2 linked regions of the Caenorhabditis elegans genome follow. The protein of the gene in region 1 interacts with the protein of each later gene in a pairwise test. Each region holds a gene or a part of one and is shown in the gene's direction. Other genes may lie near its edges.

Region 1 (9,077 bases):
CTAAGTCTCAGCTTAAGCCTAAGCCTTAGCCTAAGCCTAAGCCTAAACCTAAGCCTAAGCCTAAACCTAAGTCTAAAAATAAACCAAAGCTATAGCTCTGACCCGCACTAACCGATGAGCTTCCAGCGGCACGGGACGAGATGGAGCAGCAGTTCTGGCACGACTCCTGCGAGTAGATGGCGGTGTTTCTGCAAGCCTGACGCTCGAACGGGCGTGGTCTCTGGATGAAGGATGGTCCGTAGGCTGGAGCATCGTATTGCTGGTTGTTGTTGTAGTTGGAATCTTGAGCTGGGGTTCCGTAGGCTTGTCTCTTCACGCGGTCGCCTCTGTGGTGACCGCGATGGTGCTCTAGAAGTTTTAAGGTGAACGGGACCCGTAGGAAAGTTGTTAAAACTAACTTCTAAGACCGACAAGTGGGAAGGAAGCGTGGACAGAGCAATAGTTGACGTCAAAGTTTGGGAACTGGTAGACTGGGTATTGGGGTTGGTTGTAGGATGGTCCGTTGTCGTAGCCACCGCCATAGTGAGCTCCAGCTGGGGCGTCCTTGACGTCGGATTGCTGGAAAATTGGACATAAAATTTTATTCGCTCATACTTACTGATAATTTTTTTCTAGTACTAAATTCTAAACTAGTCTAGATTCAAAGGTAGGTATTGATTACGTTCCTATACTAATAGTAAGCTACCTAGAACAAGTACTTCAAATGAATGATGGTAAATATTAAAAGCTAAACAATTATTACACTTTCAGTATTTAACAGTTACTACTTAATCTCAAAAGTATTTAATTAGTCCTAATATACCTCCCTGAATACTATTCAATATACATGCCTACTTATAGTATTACCTTTGTATCGGATTAAATAATGTGCCATATTCGTAACGTGTTTAATTTGAATTAGACCTACATCCTATTTAAGGTACATATATTTAAGGTCTAGCTACATCTAGCCACAGTAACTCCAGGAGCAGAACCTAGGTAAAAGAAACTAGTTAAATGTATACTAACCTTCCTAATAAGTTGAATTCTATTAAATATATCTACGCTTAATCAACATAGCATTTCATCAAGAAATCTTATTACCTCTAAATTTTCTGTCCGATTCAAGTTACACCTTAGCAAGTAATCTTATTTAGACTTACTATTTAGGATATCACAATATAGTATAGGTAACCCTTACGTGATACATACTAATGCACACGTGATACGGAATAAACCTAATCTTAATAACTTGAATACAACTAATTATACCTACTGACAATACATCAAGATTTAGTCAAATATCTATAACAGCTTTACTTTTTAACGTGTCTAAATCAAGTTATCTATCAAGCTACAGTAACCTTACAGTCCGTTTTTCCTAGTTCCAACAGAACCAACAGTAACGCTTACCTTCTCAGGAGCCTCGGTGCTCACAGCGCAGGTGACAGCGGCGCAAAGTGCCAGAGACGCGACGATCCAAGTGGTGGAAAACATGATGATGATCGGAGCCAAGATGCTTCGCCGCTTTTATACTTGAGATCCGCCAGAGATATGGAGGCGGGAACTCGGCATTGTAGTTTGAGGGGAAAACGTTAGGCGTTGGATAAAAAACAAAAAGGTTTGGAGCGCAAAAATGTTTGCTACGGAACCTGGAATTAAATCTCACAGCTGTGGTAACTGAGCCAACAAGTCAAAAGGCTCCAATACATGGTGAATCACTCGGACTTGATCAACTGGAAAAATGTTCCTTAACAGTTTTTCTACAGTGTTCTAGTTCAAAATGTGTTGATTTTCTCAAAATACACTTTGCTAAAAGATACACAAATTAGTTCTTTGAACCCCGCTGGATCTCAGACACATGTTGCAACACATCCTTAGGTCACTTTTTTTTCGACCGACTATTTTTTTCAGCTTTTCCATTTTCTTTTTTCTTCGCTGCTCAATCCATCACACATTCCGCTGGGCTCTTTTTCCTGCCGGCCGCAGCCGCCGCCCACCTGATTGCAACATGTTATATGAGAAATGGGATGATTGAGTGGGCTTGGAATTTCAGACATTTCAGATGATTTCATATGGAGCAACTCGTGATGGGTGAAAGTGCAATTGAATGAGAATGGAGAAATGTGCAAATACCTGGAATTTGGGCATGAAATAGATAATTAACGTATTATGTGAAAAATTTGTCTGACAAGGAAAGTAAGTTAATCTAGTCCCGGACTTCGAATCGAGACGTATGTCATTTGAAAGCTTATGGTTAGCCTAGATCACCGCAAAAATTTCAGATTTTTGGAAAAAAATAAAAATTTCCAAAAAGCTTCCACACTGTTTGTTTGACCCTAAAGACCCCCAAAAACAATTTTTAACCGCTCTAGCCACTTTTAAGGCCATTTACTTGACCTAGAATTCAGCAAAAAAATGCACTGGAGCACTTTCAGATGGCGCTTTCAGGGGTTCAGAGTTGAGTTCCGCCGCTGAAATTTTTTTGGTGATCTAGTCTAAACATAAGCTTTCAAAGGCATATGTCCTGATTCAAAGTCCGGGACTAGATTGACTTCCTTTCCTTGTGAATTGAAAGCTTTGGAGTGATTTATAGTGTTCCTAATGGATTTCTCTATGGATTTGCCAATAAAATTTCAACAATTTACATATCAATGAGCAAATTGCAAACACGTAAAATATGCATTACATAGTTTTACAAAGTTTTGTAATAAATTGATATTTATAAAAATACATAAGAGGGATACGAGCTGCTGAACAAAAATGCTGATTATGGTGCATTGAGAGTAGTTTTATTGTAAAATTTTGGCAGTAGGTTTTACATGCATTATTTATGCTTCAGATTCCCTTCTTTTTGGTGCATCGATGAAAAATTTACTGATCAACTTTAACAGTTCATATCTTCGTAGCCTTTGGTTTTATCAAAAAATTATCAACTGGCAAGTTATTTATTATTACTTTTTCTATAACTGTCTAGTTACAATTTTTTTGATATCTTGAAAATTAGCCGAGATATGGTGCAAATCTATCGATCATCTTTTCAATGTTTCCTCTTTTTTCCCCGTTCCATCAACTCAGACATTTCTACTTTCATCTTCCTCAAGCTTTTCCTCTTGATTTTTTTTTCTGTAGGCGGAGCCCATCCCATGTTCCCCCCGAACTATAAAAGCATGGCTCCGCCGACAAATCCATCATTCGATCGCTTTTCAGAAATGAAAACCGTTCTTCTTCTCACAGTCGCCTCGCTGGCCGCCGTCCTCGGTGCAAAGGTATATGGTTTTTTTGGATTTCCGCAATTTTAGGATAATCTGAAACATTTTCTGCAGCCAACACCCACCGAAGAGGTCAAGTCAGAGGCCGCTGCTGGTCGCTACGGCGGTCGTCCATCGTATGGAGGAGGAGGTTATGGAAATGGAGGAGGATATGGATACCCAGCATTCGGACCAGGATACTGGCAGCCACTTATTCAAGATCGTGAGTTCGTGAAAATTCAAATTTTAAGAGCTATAGTAATTTGGCAATAGAGCGCATTTGCGTAGACCTAGTTATGATTATACTTGTTTGAACCGCAATAGCCAACTTATTTCAAAAATGTAACATTTTTTGGGAATCATCAAAAAATTGACTTATTCATAGGTAGTTTTGTCAATTTTCAAATTTTCGAAAAATTTTGAAAAATTCATAAATTTCTCAGTTTTCGAGATTTTTCAATAATTTTTAAATCAAAATTAAGCTAGTTCTTCAAATTTTGTTGCAAAAATACTGTTTTTTTTTTTCAAAAAATCTGTAGAACTTAGGCCAATTTATCAGAATTAGAATTTTTGAAAATGTTTGAAAACCTGTAACTTTTCCAGTTTTTGAGATAATTGTTTGATTTTTATGTCAAATTAAAGATTAATTTTTTTTAAATTTTTTGGCAAAATTAACTGCGTTACTGTAGTATTTATTTAGATTAAATTTAATCTAGTTGGTGCAGAATTTCAAAAAAGCTACAATTTTCAAAAAATTTCATTGAGTTTAATGCCAAATTGAAGCTTAAATTTTATATTTTGAAAGAAATTGAAATTCGGTAGAAAACACACTTTTCCTAGGTTACGATAGCTTCCATTATTTTTTATACAAAATTCAAAAATTTACCCTTAAAATGACACAAAAACCATCCCAAAATCTCAAAAATTGAGAAAGTTATAGATTTTCAAAAATTTTTGAAATTTTGGACTTTTTTTTTTGGAAGAGTCAAATTTTATTGCTATTAAATTTTTTCGACAATTTTTATCGAAAACTAATTTTTCTTGAAAATTCAAAAATTTACCCTCAAAATACCACAAAAACCATCCCAATATCTCGAAAATTGAGAAAGTTATATAATAGATTTTTGAACATTTTCGAAAATTCATAACTTTTTTAGTTTTCGAGATTTTTTATTGAATTTATTGTAAAATTAGAGCCAATTTTTTAAAATTCTGTAGAACAAACTGATTTGAGTCAGGAATTTTTTTTGTCAAATTAACTAAAATGGTTTTTTTCTAAAATTTTCGAAAATCTACAACTTTTCCAGTTTTTGAGATATTTTATCAGTTTTTAAGTTAAATTGAAGCTGAAATTTTGAATTTTAAGATGAAAAATATTTACAGGCTTCGTATGCGACCTCGACGCCTCCGTGCTCCTCGTCGTCGACTCTGTCCGCCGCCATCATCGCCACCCACAGCCATACTACGGTGGAGCCCCATCCGTCCCAGCTAATCGTGCCGTTCGTGTAAAGTGCTCCGAAGTTGCTACCCATGATGAAGATTCCTGTAACTTCTGCTGCCAACAGACCGCCCGTCGTGACACTTCCCTTCCCAACGATCAACTCTTCGGATTCTTGGCTATTACCAAGGATGATGATGATGAGACATTCAAGAGATCCAAGAGAGGAGCTGATGATGATGATGATAATGATTCGGATTCTGATGAGAAGGACGGAAAACATGGACGTGGAAGATTCCATAAGGTTGACTCTACCTACTTGTCAGAGGCCAACTGGGAGCCAAAGAAATATCATAAGAATGTCAAGTGCGTGTGCTGTGCTCCAAGATCCTCTCCAGCTGCTCAGGTGGGGAATATTTTAAGGACTATTTTTTTTTGTTGGGAATTCAGTGATTTTGCTTTAATCTGGCTCAAAAATTACAAAAAAAATGTTGAAAAATGAGGAAGTTATAAATTTTCAAAAAACCGCGGAATTTCGATATTTGAAGATTTTGGCCTACGAGTCTAAAAGTCTAGTTTTGAAGACAGTAAATTTTTTGAAAATTTAAAATTAATCCTTTTTAAATAATTTCAAAATTTACTTTAAATTTGGCAAAAAAATCACTGAAAAATCTCATACACTGAAAAAGTTATAGATTTTCAAATTTCTGTCAGAATTAACAAAACTTTTAATTTTGGACCAATGACTTTCTTTTTGGTTTTTACCACAATTTAGTTTTTATATAACTAAAACAATTTCACTACAACATTTAACAATTCAGCTTTAATTTGGCCCAAAAATCTCTAGAAAATCTTGAAAACTAAGAAAGTTGAGAATGTTCAAAAAATCTCCGAATTTCGAAGTTTGAAGCCCTAAATTTAAGCCATATGACGAGTTCAAGCGTCTAGTTTTGAAGAAAATATGGTTTTTCAGCGTTCAGACTAGTTTTTTCCATAAAAATTGAAACTTCCGCTTTAATTTAACACTAAATTCACTAAAAAATCTCAAAAACTGAAAAAGTTTTGGATTTTTGAAAAATTTTAGAAAATTCCAAAGTTTGAGAATTTGGCATTAGGCCTACTTTTTTCAGCTATTTTACTGAATACATCACTCCAAACATGAATTTTTGTAAAATTTTAAAATTTATATTCAATTTGCCACAAAACTTATCCAAAAGTCTCAAAAACTAAGAATGCTATGGATTTTCGAAAAATCTCAAAATTTTGAAATTCGAAAAATAAGGAATTTGAGAGGAATTTTTCATGTTTTTGAACCTTTCTAAGACGATATTAAATTAAAAATTATTTTTTCCTAAAAAATATAAAAGTTTAGCTTCAATTTGACACAAAAATCACCAAAAACTCTCAAAAACTGAAAAAGCTACGAATTTTCCAAAAATTTTGAAATTCTCTCCAAAAATCTTCTCAAACTGAAAATTTCATCGGGATTTTATTGAATTTTGCAAAAAAAAAATCGATAATTTAGCCTATGTACCACTGAGTTTTAAAGAAAATTTCCTAAGAAATTTTTTTTTCAATTTCTGAAAACCCCTAACTTTGCCAGTTTTTGATATTTTTCAATGTTTTTTAGGTTATTTTGAAGCTCATATTTCAAAACTTTGAGGGAAAATTTATTATGCAATTCAATTTTCTTCCAGAACCCATCCTACAACAACAATGCTGCTCAATCCCCACCAACTGGCTACAACAACAACGCCAACGCCTTCGTCCAGCCACAACCAGTAGCTGCTCAGTCCCCACCAATGTCAGCCTCCCAGCCACTCGTTGACCTCTGGCAATCCGAGAATACTGCTCCATCAACATCATGGGGAGCTGCTCCAGCTGCTCCATCAACATCATGGGGAGCTGCTCCAGCTGCTCCACCAACCTGGGGAGGTGCTCCAACTGCTGCTCCAACTTGGGGAGCCGCCAATGATGCTCCACCAGCGGCCACGCCGGCTCCAGTTGCTGCTTCCAATGCTTATTAATTCGATTTTCTTACAAGTGACCTTTTTGTTTACATTTTTCAAATATAATTCGATTTTGCACAACCCAATAAATATCTTCTCCTGAAATTTTGTGCTACATAGCTATTTTGGAATAAACTACCAGTTTTTGAAGTTTCCGGCAACTTTGGAAGTTGCCAAATTTGTCATTCTTAAAATTTAGCTCTTCAAATTTAACTTTTGTAAAAGTTTTTGATAATTTTAGCAACTTAGACACTTGTTGAACTTTCAAATCATTCGCAGTCTCGCAACATACTATCAAATATTTTCCCACCTCTGGTCTAGATCATTTTGTTAAAACTCCTTTTTCTCAGAAAAAATTGACATTTTCCCACGTACTTTTCTACACTTTTTTGCTGTTTTCCAGACTTTAGAAAACCTCATGTATACATAGAAGCTTCACGAAAACCAGTGACCAGATTCCAAAAAGTTTTTGAGCCTGCTAGGGCTTCCCTGTAGGCGCCTGAACGCCTGCCGCGCCCGCCTTGCGGCGACCTCTGCCTGCCTTGCACCACGACCCGAATAGTGTCGGTCGCGGCCAAAGAACCACCTTTCGCACTTTGTGGAATAAACACCAAGCATTTAGTGCAGAAATTGAGCGAGGGGCAGGCGGAGATCAGGTAGCAGGCATTTTAACGCCTACATAAAAGCCCTATGGTCCTCGCACTTTCTAATGACAAAAAAATCTTTCACTCAAAAGTCCCGGCATATATGGTAGTCGGCGTTTTTGTATTTTTAGAGAAATCTAGAAATCAAAGAAAAACTTTTTTGGCTTAAAAATCTATGCAGAAATTAAAGCTACCTAATCATTAAATCTTGCAAACATTTTTTGAAATAACTTTGATTTTTCATTTTTTTTTTCAAAAAAGTTAAATTTCCAAATATTGATGCGTCACGTACACTAAAAAATCAAAAGATAATGCGCAACGTAGCAAAAAATGACTAGTAAAATTAATTTCCGCTCTGTTGGAAAGCTATGAGCTCACTCTGCAGCTCCCGAATAAATTGAAAAAACAAATATTTCAAAAATTTTGAGATTGTTTTTTGCAGCGGGTTTTTTCCGAAAAAAAGTGATTTCCGGGGGTTCTCAAATTAACTTTTTTTTCCTCCGAAAAATTACAATAACAAATTCAAATTTTTCATTTTCTAGCATTTTTTTAAGATTTTTTTTGGATTACTGTAGCTTCTACCGTACTCCCAGGAATTATTTTTTTATGACAAATAATTATAGCTTTTAGTTTTCGGAAGTACACTATATTATACGAGAACTCTGTAGTAGTGGAAAGTGCGGTAAAAATATATATTGTTTTCTCAATTTTCCAGAACTCAATCTGTTTTCATTCCTAGAAAACATTATCAACTCTATTTCCTCGTTTATTTTTGCATTCAACAACATAACTTCTCACGGTTTTAGCTTGATTTTCAAACCAGTTGGTTACTGTGGCTCCGGAAATACGCAAACACCGTCTACCGTACTCCAATGCACCGAATTTGACGGGACTTTAAGCTAGCGCTCTGGCATTTCTGGAATAAACTAATTGAGGGATGGAGAATTCGAAATGACTATTCAAAAATTTCTTTAAAAAATTTTAAGTCTAGAATATTTCGATGTTAGCAAATTTTCTGTGCTCGAACTCCATTTCTCAAAATTTTCAATAAAAAATTTGAATTCCCTGCTGTTTTTGTGTAACAGTCCTGTGTTACTATTGAAGAAAGTCGGCTCTCGGCGAGTGCACACCACATTTTTGGCAAAAATCCTAATTTTTCTCTCTTGCGCCGAGAGCCGAGAGCTACACAACACTGGTATAAAATATTTTTGAAAACCGGAAAATTTCAGATTTCACTATTTTTCAGTACTAAAAGCGAAATTCTACGATAAATTTGAACTTTTCAATAGAGTTCGTCAGAAAAAAAGCAAACTTTATTTTCACGCGTCATATACTATCTCTCTGTATTTTATATTTAAATTTCACCTGTTTTTATTTCAGTGATTTTCTGGAGCTTAACTCTCCCGAAAAAATGGGTTGGGGGCAGAGAGATCAGCTTCTGAATTGAGAAAATTAGATTTTTCCAAACATTTTTTTGGGTGGTTTCTGATTAGATTTATAATTCTTCAATATAGAACTCTGTCCTGTGTTCTGTGATTTTCAGAAAATAGAGTTTTGATTGATGAAATTAGTTATATTTCTTCAAATTTAATTTTCACAATTTATATTTTAAGTCGATTTTTTTAAAAGCAGAAGCTTGATCTTTCGTTCATATATTCAATTCTGAAAACTTAGGAAGTTATAAGAATTTTCAAACAAAATCTGAGCCTAAGCCTAAGCCTAATCCTAAGCTTAAATCTATGGCTAAGCCTAAGCC
Region 2 (8,264 bases), on another chromosome or scaffold:
AAGAGTTAATACGAAGAGACGGTTCTAGAATGGTATTGAAGAATCTCAATAGTACAAATAATATTTTACGGTCTCAAAATTGATTCGCTCACCTTTTAATTATGTTTTATGCTTTGTCAGATCATTCCCGAGTTTCCAAATGTTGTTACCTCATGTTTTATATTTTACGAGATGAACCCGATGCATCGGCCGATGTGAAATGAAAAATATTTTCTAACTGTTTCAATATTCTAATGCGTTTTTTGCTACGCTTTTGTTTCTTTCTTCTTGTTAAAAGCTAACCTTATTCATAAAAAATTTCGATTCAAGATCAGAATGTCTGACGATGAGGATGACTACATGTCTGCTGAAATTCTCCAAGGAGTTAGTGAACAACCAGTTGGAATTGCAAAATCTAGAGCTCACAAGCGAGAACTACAAATAAATTCAAGATTTGAAGAGTCCAGAGACACGTTTAAACCAAAAAGGCCAACTAGTCATGCTGAGCGAGGTTTGTAAATCGTAGTATATTATTTTTGTAGTTTACCAAATAAATTTCAGAAAAAGAACGTCGCGACGAGGCGCTCGCAAAACCGATTAGCCACGAATCGAAAGGATTTGCATTGATGGCAAAAATGGGATTCAAACCTGGTATGACATTGGGAAAGCAAAGAGAAGACGAAATTCGAATTACGGAACCAATTGGTGTCGATATCAAGGCTAATAGGAAGGGACTTGGGCACGAGGTTGAAGCAGTTCAAGAACGCAATGAACGAGTTGAGGCTGTAATGCAAAAAATGAAAGAACAAGCGGCAAAGCATGAAGAGCTGATCGATGACTATTCCAAACGGCGGAAGCTTGATGCCAACTCAAAGCAATTAGTCAAAGACATCAGATCTTGTCGAAAGGTGTGCGAAGAGTTGGATCATCGAATTGGAAAAAAAGTTCCCAGTGTTTCGTGGTTTTGGAGAAGTTATAAAGTTGCTCAAGAGGAAACTACATCTTACCATAAAAAAGTTGAAAAAGAAGATGAAGAATATAAGTACTCAAATGGTTTAGCAGCTCCAGAAGATCCGAATTATGATTTCACAATGTCAACGGAAATTTTAGAAGAAGCGTAAGTTTTTGTTTTGTAGATAAGGTTTCAATGAGCGTTATTTATCCAAACCGACAATAGTATTAAATATGCGTTTATTTCAGACTTTCCACTATCAACAATTATCTTCGAGATGGTCACTTCTATTGTATTTGGTGCGGAGCCAACTTTTCCTCGCCAGAAGATATGATCGAACATTGTCCTGGGAGCACTCGTCGAGCACATCATGGAGAAGATGAATAGATTAATTATTTTCATAAAATCTCAATTCTTGATGTATATACTATGAATCCTTTTTTATAACCAAGTTCGTGTCCTAACATCGTGTCACTTTTTTTTTTTGCTTTTTTGCTTCATTATTGTCTGCTCCTGTGTTGTTTCTCAAGGTGGGAACGTATCAAGTGACAAGTGACCACTAGTCAGTCAGCTTGAAGTGGCGATCAGTTGCCGCGCACCACCAGTAGCCCCCAACAGCGCGAAAAGCTTCTTTAGCGATAGAAAAGAACACAAACAATTGAAAAAGAAGAAAGTCCAGTGCACACACGACACTTGTGCTTCTTCAGCTACAGTCTTCAGTGGGCAGCAACATCAAGTTCCACCATCTTTATCATCTGCTCATCCATTCTCTCGATCTGTTCCGGTAAATTTGATTGCCAATCATTTTGCAAATCATGGCATGGTTAACGTCCATATTTTTCATTCTTCTAGCCGTTCAACCGGTTCTTCCACAGGATCTATATGGCACAGCAACTCAGCAGGTACAGTGAACTGTTCAAAAATTTGTAGCATTTGTTCTTATTTCTCTTTCTCAAAGTTTCTAATGCTTAGGGTCTCACCACGACCAAGATATTGTTCAAATGAAGGGCTCGCCAAGGGATTTGCACCTATAAGGAGTACTGTAGTTCAAGTTCAAGTTTTTTTTTCAATTTTTCCTCGTTCGTTCCGATTTTAATGCTTTATTTCTAACTATTTGTTTCGTATTTACATATAAATCGGTATGAGCTACAAGGAAAATATTTATGTAAAATCGAAAAAATTGTGAAATGAGTCGCACTACAGTACTATTTAAAATCACCGTATTTAAAATATTTCTGTCGTATCGAGACCTAATTTTGACAAAAAATCGCACAAAAAATCATTATGGTTTTAGGCAACATAAAGATTCCAATTGGATTCACAGACGATTTAAAAACTTAATTTTGAAAAAAATCAAAACAATCGTTTTTCTTTAGTGAATTGTATAAATATTTTCCAGCAGCCTTATCCATATGTACAACCTAGTGCTTCGTCTGGTTCTGGAGGCTACGTTCCAAATCCTCAATCAAGCATTCATACTGTTCAGCAGCCATATCCAAATATTGTAAGTTATAAAGGCTTGGGCCAGGGCCGAGGATAGGTCTATATTTGTTTACATTACCAGAATATCAAGAAACAATATTTAGGATGTAGTCGAACCAGATGTGGATAGTGTAGACATTTATGAAACTGAAGAACCTCAATTTAAAGTTGTGAACCCTGTATTTCCACTTGGTGGATCTGGAATCGTTGAACCTGGTACAATCCCACCACCAATGCCTCAAACTCAAGCTCCAGAAAAACCAGACAACAGCTATGCAATTAACTATTGTGATAAACGAGAATTCCCAGATGATGTACTAGCACAATATGGATTAGAAAGGATTGATTATTTTGTATACAACACTTCATGCTCTCATGTTTTCTTCCAGGTAATTTTTTGGAAATTATTTTTCTGAAATACAGAAATAGTTGAACAAATGTATAATTTAAAGTATTGAAACTTATCTTTATTGTATGCACGAAATAAGCTATTTTTATTTGTATGCTATCAATATTTATATTTCTACAGTCAATAGATTTCTGAAATTCCGAACTTCTTTCATATTTTCAGTGTTCAATTGGCCAGACTTTTCCTCTGGCGTGTATGTCCGAAGATCAAGCATTTGATAAGTCTACTGAAAATTGTAATCACAAGAATGCTATTAAATTCTGTCCAGAATACGATCATGTCATGCACTGTAGTAAGTCATTCAATTAAGAGTATGTATAAAATTTCATATGGCGTTGATGCACCATGAGGTGCGCTTGAAAGTTTGTAAATCTGCAATTTTCTGATTTTGATTTTATGGAAACTTAATTATTTCATCGATTTTTTCTCGAAATCTATAAAATATATTTATTTACAAAAAGCTCCAATATAAAATAGTGTTTGATATTGCAGCAATCAAAGACACCTGTACTGAAAATGAGTTTGCTTGTTGTGCAATGCCTCAATCCTGTATCCATGTGAGCAAACGTTGTGATGGTCACCCAGACTGTGCCGATGGGGAAGATGAGAACAATTGTCGTAAGTTACTCATTACAACAATTGCCAATTAAATTGAAAACCTTTAGCATCGTGTGCACGTGATGAGTTTGCATGTGTGAAGAGTGAACATTGTATTCCTGCAAACAAAAGATGTGACGGTGTGGCTGATGATTGTGAAGATGGATCGAATCTTGATGAAATTGGATGCAGTAAAAATACAAGTAATTTTTACTTTTTAAAATGTACTTTATAACAAAGTAATTAAAGCTTGTATTGGAAAGTTCGTCTGTGGAACATCGCGTGGAGGTGTTTCATGTGTGGATTTAGATATGCATTGTGATGGAAAGAAAGATTGTTTAAATGGAGAAGATGAAATGAATTGTAGTAAGTTTTTTTCTGCCTCCCTTCTTCTCACCCGGAAAACACCTCTGGAAAGTTATAAGTGGCGAAATAATGTACAGTACTTCCTCTAATAATATCGCATCCTACTATTTCACTTTAAAAGGTTATACCTCGGTTCAATTTAAAGATATTGAACATATTTTTCAATAAATAATTGACTGCAAACGATAGAAAAAAGTTTTCAAAAAATTGTCAAATGACAATTTTTAAATAGGAGAAAAGACAACTGAGATATTTAATTGTCAAAGTCTAACATTGGGAGTGCAACATTAATAGAAATACATACAATTTGGAATGTCTTTCTTAACTATAACCACACATTTTGGCACAACTTCAATGTGCGAACTTTTTCTTGTTCGAGACAAAAACATAGGAAAAAAAGTATTTTTAGCCAAGTGTCCAAATAAACACTGACGAATACTACACTTGTTATTTCAGAACAAGAAGGACGCCAAAAATATTTGCTCTGCGAGAATCAAAAACAATCAGTGACACGTCTACAATGGTGTAATGGAGAAACAGATTGTGCTGATGGATCTGATGAAAAATATTGTTACTAGATACTGCTGAACTTCTTGTCGATTTCCCTTAATTTATAAATAAATACATGAATGTCATTGCTTCTTGAAATATTCTTTCAAATTATTTGACAAAACGATTAGTTTCGCTTTGAAAATTTGACGGAAAAGAGGTCGAAAAGGGTGGGGACTGGTTATTTTTCAAGGTTTACTGTTTCTCTTTTTCTCTTCTTTTTGTTACTCTTACCCCTTTTCAACTTTGACACCGAAAGTCAACCAGTGTTAGACTCATGAGTATTTCCGTATATTCTGTTACTATTTTCACACTTTTGACATTACTTCCGTTAATATGTATATCACTGGAGTGCATCAACTCAACATCATACATGGACAGAGTTCTCGTCAAACCAATGAGCTCACATTGTCGTTTGAATAATGCACTTTGTGTGAAGACAATGCAAATTAGTCAGAATTCTGGTATGCACATATTTTTTGAAGTTGGAACTTTTAATATTGATCATTTCGTATTGACCGTCTCCGACTCAATATTTTTTGTTCCAACATTGATTAACTACCATTAACTGTCATTAAGTTCTGGTCCAAAAAATTGAATCAGAAGTTGGCAGAAGTTTGAACAAAGTTGAGCTAAAATTTTTAAAATTTTTGGCGCGCTCAAAACCAAATATTTCTTAAGTTTTACCAAAGTCTTGCCAATTTTTGAACAAATTATATAATTGGTCCAATACAAGGCTGATTTGAAAAAAATCTATCAATTTTGTTTGAAAAGTTTCGCAAAGTCAATTTCAATTTAAATAAATCCGAACTATCCTAATTCCGAATTTTATTTTTTATTGTCAGTGCACATGACCCCAGGGATAATCTAGATTCAAAGTTTATTGACTAATCCATTTTACCGTTCCAGATGGTTCACCAAAGGTATTATCTATTCATCGAGAGTGCTATGAACTTGAACCACCACAGGCTTATAGAGATGGTAGAGGATGTTTGGATTCATATGATGAAGATGATCCAATTTCTAGACGAATTGGTGAGAATAATACTTCATTACCACTTTTAGGGTCAAGGTTTCATAGATTTTTTGAGAGTAAACGTGTAGCTCTTTTTTCTTAAACTTTTGTTAAGTAATTTATGCAACTTTATTGAAAAGTCTCTCACTAATTCTTTCAAAACAAAAACAATTTTGTTACTCTACTGACGTGAAAACATTTAAATTGATTTCTATTTACCTGTCTATAAAACTAGAGACTGAAAATCAACAAGAGAAATAGACATTTAAACAAATCAACATTCAGGGCCACACTTGATCACGTGTTACTGTTCATCGGATTTATGCAACTTCTGACTTTACCCACTCTTATTTTTATTTTCTTGAATTATGGTACACCATGTCTTTCACTTCGAATTCTTGTATACTCTCCACGAATGATACCGAGCCATGTGGCATTTGTGGCAAATATAGCTAATCTTCTTGGTCAACGGGGCCACAATGTTGTAAGTTATTCGAAAAAAGTACAAATAAAAAATTAAAATTTCAAACTTCAGGTAGTTGTAGATAATGTGCTTCGCAGTGATATTTCAAACAAATTAGATTTGAAAGTTATTGAAAAGGTTGTAAAAGTTGAAACGGTCAGTTGACAGACAATTATAATGAACACAAATTTTATGACATTTTTAGTCGGCAAATGTTGCAAAATTGCTTGCTGATCAAAGTATTCCCATAAACTTTTGGAGTATGCGAAATGAACCAGAGGAACAGAAGAAGGTTATGAAACAATTGGGAATTATATTTTTAGAACAATGTAAATATTTGGTATCAAAAGAAGAAACCGTGTTTAATGAATTGAAACATTTGGAATTTGATTTTGGAATTCATGAAGTTTTTGATATTTGTGGAATTGGAATTTTTGAAAAACTGGGTATCCGAAAATCTGTGATATTGTCTTCAACTGGAATGAGAGATATTGTTAATGAAGCTCTTGGTATTTCGAGTCAATTGCAAGATGCTTGTGAGTTTTTTTGATCATCGAAAAATTGAAATCATGATAAAATTATTTCAGCGATTCTTTCTGATTATGGAAATAGTATTCCTTTCTATGGAATACGGAGAAATTTAAAATTTCATTCTGCCTGGAGAAACTTTTTTGAGGTACAGAGCAAGACGTTGGAGCCACTTTTTGAAACAACTAGCAGCTTTGAAGTAGGTTCACAGCAATTCTTTTTTTTTCAAAATGTTTTTGCTTTAGAATCTCCTCCGATTTAGCAATCTAATGTTTTTGAACACCCATGAGCTCGCAGATGCTCATCGACCATGGAGCAGGAGAGTTCATGAAATTGGAGGAATATCCTTTAAATTTCCAATGCCACTGAAAAACGTCAGTTTGTTTTTACGCGTTGAAAAATAAAACACAATTTTCCAGGAATATATCAATCTATTCAATAAATATAATTCCATAATCCTTGTGTCATTCGGAACTACAACACCTTCGTTTTTGATGCCCGAGAAATATAAAAATACGTTAATAAATACTTTCCAAAGGTTTCCTGACTTTCTTTTCATTTGGAAATATGAGAAAGACGACGAGTTCACACAGAAAAATAAGAAAGGGAATGTGGTTTTCAAGAAGTTTTTGCCTCAAGTTGATTTATTAGGTGAGATGCATAAATTTAGAAAAATTTGGTACGATTTTGTAGCCAAAGTAAGTTTTTATCTTCTTTTAGAATGTCCTGAAAAAATAAAATGATTTTTTGAACAAGAAAAGTCTGAAATTTTTCCAGGTAAAAAAACACAATCCAGATCGACTTTTCTAAATTTCATAGTGCTCCTTAACAGCTAAATTTTTTTGTGTTATTATATTTCAAAAACATAAGTAACTTTCGTTAAAAATATTTTCAGAATCAAGAAAAATCAAATTATTCATCACACATGGCGGTCAGAATAGTCTTCTTGAAACTTTTCATTCAAACACTCGTACTCTGATAACTCCCTTATTTGGTGATCAACACAGGAACGCTCAAATTGCATTGGAAAACGGATTGAGTCATGTTTTACTCAAAGATCAACTAGCGAATGAAGAATTGGTTTATGCAGCAATAAAACAAGGAACTGAAAGTAACAAAAAGTAAAATAAAATTGAAATTGTTTTAATTTTTGGAATGCAACTTATTTTACAGACTAGATGACAACTTGTTAAAATTATCTTCAAATTTGAAAAATGCGAAACAAACTTCCGAAAACCTTTTCCTGGATACTGTTGAATCTACATACACTGATAACTTATCGCCTCTTAACTTTGAGTTTTATCCAAAATTGTATTCCTCTGATCAAATTCTTTTATATTTAGACTCAATTGCCATGTTTACTCTGACATTGTTGACAATGATATTAATTAGAAAGTTTCTTCTATAAAATATTTTCATTCATGCTTCAATAATTATTTCGTCTCATAAATAATAATAATGGGGCACATTTCTAGAACTTAATAGCCAAAATCTGTTACTTTGGCTTCTCTCCGTGTTCCTTGATTTTAGAAACCTTATAACAGACAATTAGATTTAGAGCTCCGCCTAATCTATTCCATATAAATACCCGATGTGTTGCAAAAACAAGTACATTCAGGTGTCGAAATGTTGTGGGCTTTCATCGTTTGGCTCGGTGCTCTTTGCATTTATGGATCAGCTTTTGATATTCTGATTTATGCTCCACGAATGATGCAGAGTCATGTGTATTTCACGGCAAGGATTGCGAATGTGCTTGCAGCAAGAGGACACAAGGTGGTAGGTCAATTCAATTTATTTTGCACGTAGAACAAGTTATTTATGTAGGTAAAATTCTGATAAATATATTTGAGAAATAAGAGGAATTGTACTTACAAACAGGTAGTTGAAAGAAATACGACTTTTAAAGTAGATGACGGCAAAAAAT

Evidence for each region.
Region 2: the proteins of perm-4 (region 1) and lrx-1 interact in a two-hybrid assay, tested with the Caenorhabditis elegans proteins (one large-scale study listed by BioGRID).

Annotation. Positions count from the first base shown.
Region 1 is NC_003282.8:1,119,200-1,128,276, reverse strand, and holds perm-4 (PERMeable eggshell), read left to right. Parts: upstream 1-3,169; 5' UTR 3,170-3,191; coding exon 3,192-3,248; intron 3,249-3,305; coding exon 3,306-3,453; intron 3,454-4,613; coding exon 4,614-5,074; intron 5,075-6,365; coding exon 6,366-6,695; 3' UTR 6,696-6,783; downstream 6,784-9,077. Other genes in the region: perm-2 (uncharacterized protein), read right to left, coding at 113-348, 399-558, 1,393-1,476.
Region 2 is NC_003283.11:12,251,032-12,259,295, forward strand, and holds lrx-1 (LRP X(cross)-hybridizing), read left to right. Parts: upstream 1-1,653; 5' UTR 1,654-1,746; coding exon 1,747-1,833; intron 1,834-2,330; coding exon 2,331-2,435; intron 2,436-2,517; coding exon 2,518-2,802; intron 2,803-2,984; coding exon 2,985-3,114; intron 3,115-3,314; coding exon 3,315-3,440; intron 3,441-3,487; coding exon 3,488-3,622; intron 3,623-3,668; coding exon 3,669-3,785; intron 3,786-4,241; coding exon 4,242-4,363; 3' UTR 4,364-4,419; downstream 4,420-8,264. Other genes in the region: rad-50 (Zinc-hook domain-containing protein), read left to right, coding at 1-28; T04H1.5 (G patch domain-containing protein 11), read left to right, coding at 316-490, 541-1,096, 1,180-1,318; T04H1.12 (Activin_recp domain-containing protein), read left to right, coding at 4,612-4,798, 5,244-5,369, 5,635-5,684; Putative UDP-glucuronosyltransferase ugt-55, read left to right, coding at 5,672-5,833, 5,885-5,968, 6,018-6,348, 6,400-6,539, 6,586-6,714, 6,760-6,991, 7,236-7,461, 7,514-7,748; Putative UDP-glucuronosyltransferase ugt-56, read left to right, coding at 7,967-8,116.